2 linked regions of the Oryctolagus cuniculus genome follow. The protein of the gene in region 2 binds, or shares a complex with, the protein of the main gene of each other region. Links are inferred from orthologs where the notes say so. Each region holds a gene or a part of one and is shown on either strand. Other genes may lie near its edges.

The links.
Region 1: PHLDB2 (region 2) and ERC1 share a complex: the UniProt entries of both Homo sapiens proteins name them as parts of the cortical microtubule stabilization complex. The link is inferred for Oryctolagus cuniculus from reciprocal best matches to the Homo sapiens genes PHLDB2 and ERC1.

Annotation. Positions count from the first base shown.
Region 1 is NC_091440.1:98,806,256-98,813,262, reverse strand, and holds the start of ERC1 (ELKS/Rab6-interacting/CAST family member 1), read right to left. Parts: upstream 4,601-7,007; 5' UTR 4,297-4,600; intron 1-4,296. UniProt on the Homo sapiens protein: Regulatory subunit of the IKK complex. Probably recruits IkappaBalpha/NFKBIA to the complex. May be involved in the organization of the cytomatrix at the nerve terminals active zone (CAZ) which regulates neurotransmitter release.
Region 2 is NC_091435.1:67,776,255-67,783,265, forward strand, and holds the start of PHLDB2 (pleckstrin homology-like domain family B member 2), read left to right. Parts: upstream 1-2,778; 5' UTR 2,779-2,915; intron 2,916-7,011. UniProt on the Homo sapiens protein: Seems to be involved in the assembly of the postsynaptic apparatus. May play a role in acetyl-choline receptor (AChR) aggregation in the postsynaptic membrane.

The sequences.
Region 1 (7,007 bases), on a different chromosome or scaffold from region 2:
AACTAAGTCACAGTGACTCCATATCTTACTCAAAATAAAACTCAGAGGGGCCGGCATTGTGGTGTAATGGGTAAAGCTACCACGTGCAATGCCACAGGCACTGATTCACGGCCTGACTGGTCCACTTCTAATCCAGCTCCCTGTTAATGGCCGTGGAAGATGGTCCAACTGTTTATAGACCCCTGCCACCCACATGGGAGACCTGAAAGAAGTTTCTGGCTCCAGTCTGGCCCAGCCCTGGCTGTTACAGATATCTGGCCACTGTGGGGAGTGAACCAGCAGATGGAAGATCTTTCCCTCTCTCTGTCTCTCCTTCAGTTTGTAACTCTTTCAAATAAATACACAAATCTTTAAAAAAGAAAATTCAGAGGCTATGCAATGATCTATTAGTCCCCTATATTCCCATCCCCATATTCCCTATCCTCCTCTCTTTTCTCATGTATCTCTATGTCAATGTCCAATATACCTTGTAGTAATTTATTTACTTATTTACTTATTTATCTCTTCAAATAGCATAAAAGCTCCATAAAGACATAAATTTTTGTCTGCCTTGTTCACTGCTTTATTGCCAGCATCTGCAATACCTGAGTTATAATACATGCTCTCTCTCTCTCTCTCTCTCTATATATATATATATATTTTTTTTTTTTTAAGTGAGAGTAAATAGTACATAGTAATAGCAATAGATATTACTGGATTGGCTATATGGCAAAACCATTCTACATACATAAACTAATTCATTTAACCATCTTAAAAGATTAAGTACAATCATTAATTACTCCCATTTTGCAGATGAAGGAGTTAAGGTTAAGAAACTAAGGTTAGGGGCTGGGCATTGCAGCAAAGCAGGTAAAGCCTATGATGCCAGCATCCCATATGGGAGCCAGTTCATGTCCCAGCTGCTCCACTTTCAATCCAGCTCCCTGCTAATGGCCTGGGAAAGGCAGTGGAAAATGGCCCAAGTGTTTGGGGCCCTGCACTCACGTGAGAGATTCAGATGAAGCTCCAGGATCCTGGCCTTGGCCTGGCCCAGCCTGGTCAATGTGGCCATTTGGAGAGTGAACCAGCAGATAGAAGATCTCTCACACACTTGCTCGCTCACTCTCTCTCTTTCTCTCTCTCTCTCTCTGTAACTCTGACTTCCAAATAAATAAATCTTAAAAAAAGAAACAAACAAAGGTTAGGCAGTTTACCCTAAGTCATATGATGACAAAGCGAGGATTGTAACTGGGGCACTCTGATCCCACAACACAGACTCAAAGATCTGAAGAGCCATAGAATTATATTCCATAAACTTATTTTATTACCTATTTCCCTGAAAACTTATAATCAATGTACTGATGAATGAAATGAAATGGAAATATTTCAATCTCTGATCTTTTCCATCAGTGTTTCTGTTATAATGCATGTAAAACACTTTTTTCCTTAATTTTTCTAAGAGACAGAGAGGGCTTCCGCCTGCTGCTGGCTCCCCAGTTGCTGAGAGCTCAATCTAGGGCTCCCACATGAGTTACACTATTTGAGTATTTATTTGACTATCTGAGTCATCACCTGCTGTCTCCCAGGATCCACATCAGCAGGAAAACAGAAATCTAAGATGATGGGTATGAGGCTGGAACATGGGATGCAGGCATCCTAATCAACATCTTACCAAGCCAAGTGTCCAGCTCAGGAAAACACACTTTTATCAGCTCTCATACTATATCTACAAGCATAAACAAAGCATAAAACAGAGCAGCTGTTGGGGTGAGAACCTTCATTTTTAAGTTTCCAGTGTTAATGTTGAATTAACAGACTGGCATACTTACCTATGACTTTAGTTATAAAGAAAATACAGGATAGCTTATTAGATTCAACAAGGGTATCACCAAGTAATGAGTAACAAGCAACATTTTCAAAACTTTAAAATGTATAACAAGAAATTCTAAATAGGAGAGATTACTGCTACTCTGGACTTTCTCTTAAGCTCTATGATTTAAGTCCTACAAGAAGAACTGCATCTCAGTCAGCCATGCACATATTAATTTAGGAGTACATACACCAAAAGTTTCACCTGGTGGGGCCAGTGCTGTGGCACAGAGGCATAAGCCACTGCTTGCACCCTACTTCACAATGTTCTGATTGATTAAATCACAGTACCATTCAAAGCCAAAACTAGATATGTGACTTTTTTTTTGAGATTGATTTCTTTTTTATTTATTTATTTTATTTTGACAGGTAGAGTTATAGACAGTGAGAGAGACAGAGAGAAAGGGATATGTGACTTTTAAGTTTTCCTTCTAACTAACCCAAAATCAAAATTATTCTTTGCACCAACCCAAAAACCAATCTAATATAGTTCATTAAATATTTTATTTGTAACTATAAATTGGACCATACTCTATTATATTCTGTTGCCAGTAAGTCTCTTAAAAGCAGAAGCATTTGCTAGAAGATAACCGCCTGCTCATTAGGCATGTCAAAAAGGCAATGATCGGCAACTCCTAAAACTTACATCTGTGTATTTCTTTCTTGGGATACAGGAAAGCACATCTCTGGCTGTATTTCCAAATAAACTGGTTAAGCCTTAGGAAAGTCACTAATTTCTATCTCATGACGCTTTCTTTTCCTTCAGAAATGAATTATTAAGAATCATGCCTATTTTCATCCATTTCATAATACATGTCCAACATAGGACCTATTTTCTAAACAAGAATTAGCTTAAATGACAATAACCAATAGATAGATAGTTAAGGCTGTAATCTAATAGGGAGCAGGAATCCAAGAGTCTGATTTACTGTACCAAGTTGTGAAACACTGACTTAAAACTGAACACTGTTTACCCTTAATAACATCACTCTACAAAGTAAGACATAACATTATTACAGTATTTTAAAAGCACTTGACTTCCAAAAACATGTCTAAGAAATTGAGGGCCTACCTATAAACATATATATGTACATACATATCTTCCATTTCTTGTTAAGTTTTATTTATTTATTTGAAATGCAGAATGACAAAGAAAGTTATCTTTGATCCCACTGGTTCGCTCCCCAGATACCTGTAACAGCCAGAGCTGGGCCAGGCTAAAGTCTCCCATACTTCCTCCCAGGCACATTAGCAGGAAGCTGGATGGAAAGCTTGGAGTAACTTGGACTCCAAGTAGGCACTCCAATATAAGATGCCAGCTCCCAGGGGGTGGCTGTTAACCTCGAGTGACAAAGCCTGCCCCTATGCCCTTCCATTTCTAGAGTGTTTAATAAAGGTTGCAATAAATACAACTGCAATTGAGAAATAAAAACAACTTCAATAACTGAACACAAAACGTCTAAATGTCAAGGTCTACTGAAAAACAAGCCATAAAAGACAACTGTGCCTTAAAACATTTAAGCATTTCTCATATAATTAGCTCCAAAAGAACTGTTCAAATTGTTCATTTTATCCACCCAAAGCAGTCAACCACAACCACCTGCAAGTATTACTCAGAAACGTGTCTTCCAAAACAACCACCTGAGACTCAGGCCTTCTCTTAAGGGGCCCGGAAACGCCTGTACCTTAAAAAGTGGCATAAAGAGATCCAACAGGCACAGGGGGGAAAAAACTGGAAGACAACACCTCACGGAGCTGAGTGTAATGAGACCTGTTCCCTAATGGTTGCTGCCACAACGAAGTTGTCTAAACCCAAGATCTTCCTCTTCTTCGGTATAAAACTTCTGATCCAGCCATGCTCACGATTTACTCATCACGAACTAAAGCAAAGGAATTCTCTTCCCTCCCCGGACCCCTCCCCACCCACCCAACCCAGGAGAAGAAAAAGAAAAGGAACCAAAATCCTAAAGTAGAAATGTGAGATCTGCTGCAACAGCTTCTCCAGCCGCCTCAAAGGCATCACCTATAGTTCAGCTTTCTTTTGAAACAGAACCCGTCTTCTACCTCACCATTTCACCGGGAAAAGGGGGGGGGGGGGAGCTCAACATTTTTACATCAGTCCCCAACATCCAAGAAGCACCGTGACCGCACCTCAACCTCAAGGCTCCCCAAGGTTCCCAACTCCCCCCGAGCCCCCAGCACAATCACGCCTCACCAACCTCCCTCCCACCTCCCGCCCCGCAATCGCCCAGAGCCCCTGCCTCCCACCTCCAGCCCGGGGCTCCCCACCGCTACTGCCTCAGCTCCCGCCCAACCCGGAGTGCGCGGGGTGGAGCCCGCCGGTGGGCTGGGGTGCGCTGGGGTGCGCTGGGGTGGGGTCCGCCCCTCCCCGGACTTCCCCATCCCCCCCGGTCGCGAGAAGAGGGGGAGGGGGTCCTGAAGCCTCACCTACAGCTCCGCCCCTCCCCGGGGGCGCTCTGCCCTGCCCAGTCAGGGCCGGGAGCAAGAAGCCGGGTCAGAAAAGGCAAAAGCCTCAGCGCCAACAGCAGGCGGGAAGCTGGAGGTCCCACCCGACTTCCGAGTCGTCGCTGCAGCCGCCGCTGTCGTCTCACCCTCCTCAGGGCTGCCGCTGCCGCTGTTACTGCCGCTGCCGCCGCCGCCGCCGCCGCCGCCGCCGCCGCCGCCACTACCCCACCGCCGCCGCCACCGCCGCCGCCGCCACCGCCACCGCCACAGCACGGCCCGGGCGCCCGGACGTCACCGCGCCCCGCCCCCTGCGCGAGACACCTAGCCCCGCCCCCGGCCCCGGCCGCCGCGAGCTCCTCCTCCAGCTCCCAGCCCGGGGACCTCACTGTCCCTCGCTCACCCTCCTGGGACTTCGAATCTGCGGCCCTTGAGCCCCCGGACGCCTCCTAGGGCGCGACGGGGTAGCGGCCGAGAAGTTGGGTGATACGGGGCAGAGCCGGGGGGCCGCGGGGCGGACCCACGTACACACTCTCGCGCCCCTGAGGCCTCGGGAGGGGAGAGCCCAGGCAGGCTCAGGCGCGAGGCTGTAGGTGGGCGCGAGGAGAGGCGGCGATTGTCTCCTCGTGCTTGCCGTAGGAAGTGGACCGCCGAGGCCCGGAGAGAGGAATCGTGTCTCTCCCGAACCTGCGCGCCGCCCCGCCCCGCCCCCTCCCTCCCGGGGCCCGCTACCCGAACCCAGGGACCGCGGCCGCTGCGGGGAGTGGCGCTGGGGCTGTCCTCGGATGCCGGGCTGCAGTGGGCGCCCTTAGTGCACCGTTAGCTTTTGCCAAACGTGGCCGTGGGAGGTAGTGCTCTGCTCCCAGAGGCGCGAGGCAGGCCTCGCAGGACCCTTCGCCGGTGTGCGACGTGTTCCTGTGGTGACTGCGTGGGCGGGAGTCATGTCCACACTCGGCCCCTGCCGGTGCCAAACACGGCAGCGAGGCGAACCTGCTGGGCAACTGGTATTTCAAGCAACCCAGTTTTCTGGGTTCTCCTTTGTCGGCTGCAGCCATTAATTTAAAGATGTAGATAAGCTATCTCTAAGCCAAGAAAAGAAAGAGGGGTGTGAATCACACTTACTCCCAGCCTTCCAGCGTATATTAAAATTATTTAAAATACCCTTAAGATGAAAGGCGTTGAGAGTCATCTTTTTACACATACCTCCCACTGCCATAATTAACCAGTCTCTGGCTTCCTCATAGTCCCACTAGTGTTTTCCTATCTCTTCCCAGTGTGCACATCCATTCACCAAATCCTGCCCATCCTGCCCATCCTCCCCAAGCTCCCTCTAATTGTTCCCTTCAGGATCACTGTGCATTGGGAAGATTCTGATTCCCGGGCCTGCGGCGATCACCTCTGTACTCCCTACGTAGCACTGCCATTTGTAGATGGCTACCAGCCGAGCATCCTAACGTATTCCATTTCTTGAGCATCCAGCCTCTTACCCAGGAAAAGCCATCGTTCTTTGACTATTTTTCAAAACCTTTCTCATCTGACTCCCGATATGCCATCCTGTTACCTACCCACCCCCACTCTCCGCCCCCAGCAGTGTGGTGAGGTAAAATAAATGTAGACTGGCAGTCAGTCCATTCTGCCCCTGTCCCTTGTGTATCCTTGGAAGAACCACTGTATACTTCTGGGAACTACTGAAGGACCAAGTGGGATTTGAGTGGCAGCTGGGATCCAGCCTATCTCTAAAGTGTGCGGATCCATGGGGCCGTCGCTGTGCCGTAGCTGGTAAAGCCCCCGCTTGCAGTGCCGGTATCCCATATGGGTGCGGGTTTGGCTCTGCTTCCAATCCAGCTATCTGCTATGGCCTGGGAAAGCAGTGGAAGATGGCGCAAGTGCTTGGGCCCCTGCACCCATGTGCAAGACCTGGGAAGGAATTTGGATCACCCCAGCTCTGGCGGATGTGGCCATTTAGGGAGTGAACCAGCAGATGGAAGCCCTTTCTCTCTGACTCTCCCTCTCTCTGTCGCGCTACCTCTCAATATAATAAATAAATCTTACAAAAAAAAAAAAAAAAGAGGTTCAAATCTTCATGTTCACTTTAAGAACATTTATGAAATTGACAAGGGTACAAATGCCCAAAAAGCCACAAAGTATCTGAAAGATGCTACATTGAAGAAGCACTGTTAAAGAGTGGAGTTGGCTGGGGCCATCGCAGTGGCTCACATGGTTAATCCTCTGCCTGTAGCACTGGCATCCCATATGGGCGCCGGGTTTTAGTCCCAGTTGCTCCTCTTCCAGTCCAGCTCTCTGCTGTGGCCCAGGAGTGCAGTGGAGGATGGCCCAAGTGCTTGGGTCCCTGCACCCGCATGGGAGAACAGGAGGAAGCACCTGGCTCCTGGCTTCCGATCAGCGCAGTGCTGGCCACAGCGGCCATTTTGGGGTGAACCAAGGGAAGGAAGACCTCTCTCTCTGTCAAATAAATTTTTAAAAAATTAAACAAAGAGCCGGCGTCGCGGCTCACTAGGCTAATCCTCCACCTTGCGGCGCCGGCACACCGGGTTCTAGTCCCGGTCGCGGCACCGGATTCTGTCCCGGTTGCCCCTCTTCCAGGCCAGCTCTCTGCTGTGGCCAGGGAGTGCAGTGGAGGATGGCCCAAGTGCTTGGGCCCTGCACCCCATGGGAGACCAGGATAAGTACCTGGC
Region 2 (7,011 bases):
AGGCAGATGGCTTTAATCGAATGGGTCAAGTGTCTTTCTAAAGAATGAGATTTGTCCTGTAGAGAAATGCCCTCAGAAGCAAACTCCTATTGCTAAGAAGGCCACTGAACACTATTCTTTGTTTAAGCTGGGAGCTTGGCTGCTTTTTGGCCTGAAGCCTTTCCTGCCTTGACCCTCACTGGGTATTTGCTCAATTCAACCCAAGGGGGTTCTGATTCCAGGGCCTCCATGAACTATACAGGGATCTGGAAGAAGATATCAGACAGCCTTTTGCCAAAGTTTCCCTCACCAACAGCCTTGTGAGTTAGAGAGCTTAATTGCCACCCATCAAAGAGGCCAGTAAACTACTTCCTGAGGGCTGAACCACCCTCACACGACACACAAAAATCTTAGCAACAAGTACACTTTTTCTTGTATAGGATCCATAACTTTCATAAGCTTCTCAAAGGAATCTATGATCCAAAAAATGTGTACACCACTGTTTTCCAAGAGCCTGTGGAAATGAGTTATCATTTAAATGTTGTTAAACAAGAAAGAAGTCTAATTAGGCTAAGGTTAGAGTCTTGACCCTTCCTATTTACAAAAAAAAAAAAAAAAAAAAAAGAGAGAGAGAGACTAAGACTCATGTGGATTTGTTCCCTCTAAGTGCCCTCCTTCAAGAAATAAGGTCAGATTAAGGTCAGATGAAAGAGGATAGCAATATAGTAGGGGCTGGCACTATGACTTAGCGGGTAAAGCTGCTTCCTGCAACACCAGCATCCCATATGGGCACCAGTTGGAGTCCCAGAAGCTCCACTTCTCATCCAGCTCCCTGCGAATGTGCCTGGGAAATCAACAGAAGATGGCCCAAATCCTTGGGCCCCTATACCCATGTGGGAGACCCAGAAGAAACTCATGGCTCCTGGCTTCAGATCGGCGCAGCTCCAGCCATTGCAGCCATTTGGGGAGTGAACCAGCAGATGGAAGATATCTTTCTCTCTCTCTCCTTCTCTTTGTAAACTCTGCCTTTCAAATAAATGAATAAATCTGGAAGGAAGGAAGGAAGGAAGGAAGGAAGGAAGGAAGGAAGGAAGGAAGGAAGGAAGAGAAAGTGAGCAAGACTAAAATGTGTAGGTCCAAAAGTTCCCAAGGCTGCTTGGGATCCAGCGAGAGAGTATGGTCAGGGACCAGAGGAAGCAGGCACTCTGGGAGAGAAGGGATGGCAGGTGAGTTATGCACAGATCTGGGTACCACAATTCAGAGGGAAATGGGTAAACTGAGAAGGATCCAGAAATCCTGCTACATGGGACACTGCGTGGGTTGGAACAGGAAAAATGGAGAGAAAGTTTATAGCAATGTCTTCAAATATGTTCAACTTGTTACACAACTAAGATTTTAGAATGTTGTGCCTTTATATGTGGCAGAGATCAAGGAAAAGCTGGGCGAAGGACTAATGGTACAGGAGAGCAAACCCAAAGAGAACTGCCTGCTCAAGGCAGAGCTGGGTCCACAATCCTGGCTCTGAGAGCCTTCCCAGCACTGTTTCTATTTCCCTCGGTTTTCCATTGCCTCCTGAGCGGGGGCGGGGCAGTGTGCTAGAACCAATGAGTTGTCATTTCAAGAATGCATGGCTGCGCAGTGAGACACTGCCTAGGCAGGCGAGGATTTCTGAGGGAGGGTGTATTAGTCCCCTACCACTACTGTGCCAAACCACCACAGATGCGGTTGCTTACCGTGCTCACAACAGCACGGGCCTGGAGTCAGAAGTCTAAAATGGGTCATCAGGTAATTTTCTTTGTGGAGGCCCTAAAGGAGAATCCATTTCCCTGCCCTTCCAGCTTCTAGAAGCTTCTTGAGTCACGCCCCCTTCCTCCATCTTTCATTTCAGCAGCACAGCACCTTCCATCTGCGACTCTGCTTCCATCCTCACATCTCCGATTCTGACGTCTGCTGAGGACTCTGTGCTTATGCTGGGCCTGCCTGGATAATCCAACATAGTCTCCTGTCTCAAGGCTCCTAACTCGAATGGGGACCAGCCAGGTCCCTTTCACCACATAATGTAATATATCCACAGGGTCTGAAGACTGAGAGGTGGACATTCTTTGGGCCTGTTAGTCAACCTACCACAGAATATATCAGGAAGTGTTTACCGATGCACTGGTTTCAGAGATCTGAGTTCAAAATCTGACTTCAGCACCCACAAGGTACATGATCATTACCTTCGTTGAGACTTTGTTCCTTCATTCATAAAATAGAAATGCAATCCCAAAGTTGTCACAAGGATTTTCATTCATGGATATGAAATGTGTAACACACAGTACACCCAGGAAATGCAGCCCTATTAATTCAAAGAACTGCCAGATGAGGAGTCTCAGCAGCAAAGAACTCAGTGGAAGAGACCCTACTACCAAAGGAGAGAGTTGATCAAGTGACCTCCAAACTCCCTTCCGAGCTGAAAATGGGAGTAACATTTTCCTCCATGTTATTAGCAGGACCTCTTACCATCTTGATGGAGCCAATCACAAGGTAATCACTTTTTGGATAATCAACAGTTATCAGGCTCTGCCCTTTGCCCTCTACAGCCCTGGTATCTGATTTGTCTGCTGAGATTTGATCAGGGCAAAAAGCCTGGCCTGGTGTGCAATGATTGGCTGCACCAGGCAGCTGAGACCAGCGCACACTCCCTCCTTCACATCTGTCAACATACCTGGCTGCGAACAAGTTGCTGCCTGTGACCACTGGCTGCAGCGGCCAGAGAGCAGGAAAGAGATAGAAGGGAACAGCTCATTTTCATGCTTGGGGAAAAGCTGGAGCCTGTGTGGTTGCTTCCTCCCCACATCCGAAACTCTTCAGAGAGGATTGGGAGAACTGTGGACCATCCCTGTTGAATCAGGAAGGAAAGAAGGAAGAATCTGAAATACAAAGCAGCAATCAAGGTAAGGGATCAGGCTGGCCACTGGACCTTCTCTCCAGATTGCAAACAAGCTCCTTAGCTAGCCCTGTAACTACAGTGTCTCTGCCGGCCGTCTCCTTCAGGAGATGTGGTAGATGGGAGTTGGGGCGGGTGTTCACAGAATTCAATCATCTGACCATCAGCGAATTCTGGAAACTAGGTTGAATTTTCCTTCCTCGTTCTTGCTCCTCTAAAAATTGCTGTTGTTGCTCTTCTATGTATTTTGAAAATTCTGTAGGTTTATTCTCTTTCATGGTTTGAAAGCATACATGTGGCTTATTGGAATTTTTCCACTTTGGGTAGCTTTATAAACATGTCTTCATTCTAGAATTTTGCTTGCATGAGTTCTTCTTGCTTTCAAGATATAGCAGAGAGGACAGTGTACAGACAAGTCTGAGAAACACGCTGTCTATTCAGGCGCTGTCAATCTCAAATAATGGGATTTCCCAGGGAGCCATTGGCCTGCTTGCTTTGGTACCAAAGGAGTTAAAAGTCCTGAAATTACTGGAGCAGAATCAAGCCTATTTACCCAGGCTTATCAGACCAGGCAGCCAGGTCAATCATTTACCGGGGCAGGGCTCTTTCCTACCTTTGACAGAAGACCACCAGCTGATCCCCTCCACAGAATACACATGGCAACATCAAAGCAACATTCTCTGAGGCTTTACCCCATATTCTCCTCTGATCAAGTTAGTTTGTATCCTAACCCGAGGAGTAAACCCCACAAGGTCCCTCCCAGTTCAGCAAGACTCATGCACAAACCTGAGACTTCATATCACTAGGATAAAACATTGTGGCTTTAGAGAGCACTTTGCCTGTCAGTGGAGGTCTATATGGAAGAAAGTGGTCTAACTAAGGATCAAGTTATTAAGGGATTCTGATGGAGAATAAGGCTATGGAGTAATTATCAAAAAAGTGAAGTCTTTCTCTTCAGGCCTACACATTTTGTAAATATGTTATTTGAACCAAACATGGCCTCCTCTTCTTTAGGTCTGAAGGTAACTTCTTTAATTGCAGAAACATTGTCATATTGTCATCATGTATACCTGCCAAGCGTGTGCTATAGCTCTTGGATCTTATAGTTGTTAGTGATAGGGAGGCCCTTTTTTCCTGAAGTCCCTTGGGGTAAGGGATTGAATCACATATTAGACAAGGTCATGTTTGATTGTTGTCAATCATTTATGGAACTTAAGTGAATCCCTTCAGGTAAGGTCTCTAGCTGGAATTTTTAGTGGCTGAGGTAGTTAACCAGATGCAGGAGCTGAGGTCACTGCAGACACATTGCAACTTGTGTGATTTGGGACAAGTCTGTGGCAACCTTGCAGGAATGTTATGGACAATTACGAAATGCTGTGCAGATATTAAGTCCTGCAGAATATTAACTGTGTGTCTGGCTGGAAACTGGAATATGCTGTACATCATGCAAGTGCTGGAGGTGGTTTTGAAGGGAGCACAGAGCCTTGGGGCATTCAAGACATAGGCCAAATTTACTTACTATGCTTTAGGCTGCCTTAGGGACTCGCACACACAACTGCACTCTCCTTCCTGTGCAGCCTGGCTCAAAGCCAAAACCACAAAGGAAAACCCTGCGGTTCTATCCAGCTCTTCTTCCCATTTCGTATACATTGTAAATTAGATAGGAAGAGACTATCCCTGAGATGGACTTGATTAAATGGGCATTGTTATTCTCTTTAAATGCTGGAAAGTTAGAACACAGACATTAATTAATTTGCCCCGATTCATGCAGTTACTCCAAGGCTGACCCCTGGTTCTATTCATTTCTGCCTTGTTGCCAACCCATTGCTTCATGAGGCAATGGAGTTGAACACATGGAGACGCTAAAGGTCAACGGGATAAGGAAGTCTCACTAATAGAGTTAGAAGTTCTCCACTGGCCTCTGGATGTGCCAGGCCTAAGGCCAGGTGAGTGCCACTGTCACCAAAAGACCACCGTTTGACTGGAGTGGACCTGATTCTAGGGGACTTAAAAGCACAAACTGGCAGGAAGTAAAGGGACGTGTTTGTAATGGTGACTATCTCTGGACTCGTGTCAGTCCTGGATATTTCCCAGTAAACCTAGTGAATTCTCAAGCTAGATCCTGGGCCCTGTGTTTTCTCTAGACTCAAATTCATGAGCCCCAACTAAAATACCGCACCTGAACCGGATCCAGAGAAAGAATGGACTCCATCCCTACCCTCCCCTGAGAACTCAAGAATTTCATTATTAGATGTCCACTCATCCATATCCCAGTTGGGCGAAAGGAGGCTTAAAGCAAGAGGAACCATCAGCAGTCCATCATTTCAAGGCTCCCAGCTATTGCAATTCAAAGAGACCCAGGTTGGCTTGGAATCCAAATAGCTTGATGATGTCATTTAAGCTGTAAATGAGTAAACTACAGCAGCAAGTCTTCCTCCCCCTCTTCCTCCCAGGTTCACTTCTTTCAAATGCATCCTAAAATGTCCATGGATTGTCTGGCAGAACTTCCAAACAGACACAATGCCCAAGCCTTTACATAATCAAGATTAAGAAACACCACTGTGACGGGTGGTTGGCTAAACACCCTTGCATGAGGGCTTTCCTTTTTTTTATGGACTTGCCTCATGCATACTTCAAGAGTGTGAGGCATTGCAAAGAGGGACTGCATCACCACGTCCACCAGGCCCCATCCAGGCAGGGGACCCCATTTGAACTGTACGCACAGCCTATCATCTGTGTTAATTAAGACGCTGAGAGAAAAACAAAGTTGACTCTAAAACACAAGGGCTCCTACCAACATTTCACCTTTACCCAATGCCTGTTATGCCTAACAAATCAGCTGCTGACTTTTTGTCTGCATGTTTTGCATGTATTTCCAAGACAACTTGCCAGGAATGAAGGAGCTACTAAGATCAGGTGGAGTTTAGCAGGAGTCTACTTGATCCTAAAGCCCAACTCCCTATACTCACTCCACAGTGCCTACATTGTTTGCACTGTACAAAAGGAGGGGACGTCCTTTCCAAATTGTTGCTTGAATTCTCAAAGTACATATTTATTCTCGCTTCCTTCCCCCAAGAAATGTTCTTGACTCTGTACAGCCATAAAATTCAGTATCACAGTGATTTACCTGCCCTGCGGGAAAGTAACACAACACACACACACAGACACACACATACACACACACGCACATTCGTATACTATAAACACACACATTGCCCCTGAGTCAGCATTTTGATCCCTTTCTGAAGCTGTGGAGAAAATTGGTCTTATTACCTTGCTCACAAACATTGGTTTCTTTGGTTCATTGATTTTAACATAATGCAAAATAAAATTTTTCCATTATTATAATAAGATTTTTGAAAGTTAATTGCTGCCATGAAATTTCAGCCTTTGAGAAAGCTAAATTTTTCAAAACTTTCCAGTATGTCAATGGTTTTATTTAATCTTCATCATAACACTGTAAGTTGAGTACCATTTTCAGGTGGTACCGTGTCAGATAAGGAACCTGAGGCTCATTACAAGTGGGCCTCCCTCTCAAACCTCAGGCAGCTAATGAGTTCTGTAAATATTGAGCACTAAATGCTTTGATCTTCTTTTCTCATTTACAAGCAGTTCTCTGAATTTCTTTTTTTATAAAGATTTATTTTATTCATTTGAAAGGCAGGGTCAGAGAGAGAGAGAGAGAGATCATTCTTCCCCACTGGTTCACTCCCCACGTGGCCACAAGGACCAGGGCTGGACCAAATAAAGGACCCCAAAACTCCGTTTGGGTCTCCCCCATGGGTCCCAGGGCCATGTTTCGTTATTTTTCTAGGTGTGTAATCAGGGACCTGGATTGGAAGTGGAATAGCCAGGACTCAAACCAGCATTCATATGGGATGCCAGCATCATTAGCAGCAGCTTAACCTGCTGTGTCACAACACAAGTTACAGTCCTCTGAATTCATCATGCTAAGAATGGAGTCTAGAAATGGTTTTCAGGAAATAAAAATGCCAAATGATGACACAGTCTGTTCTTAGGCCACATAGTCCCAATCCAGCATGAACTGCTTTGCTTTTGGCTGGAAGTCTATCAGGTTAGAATGGAAATGCCATTATTATAAT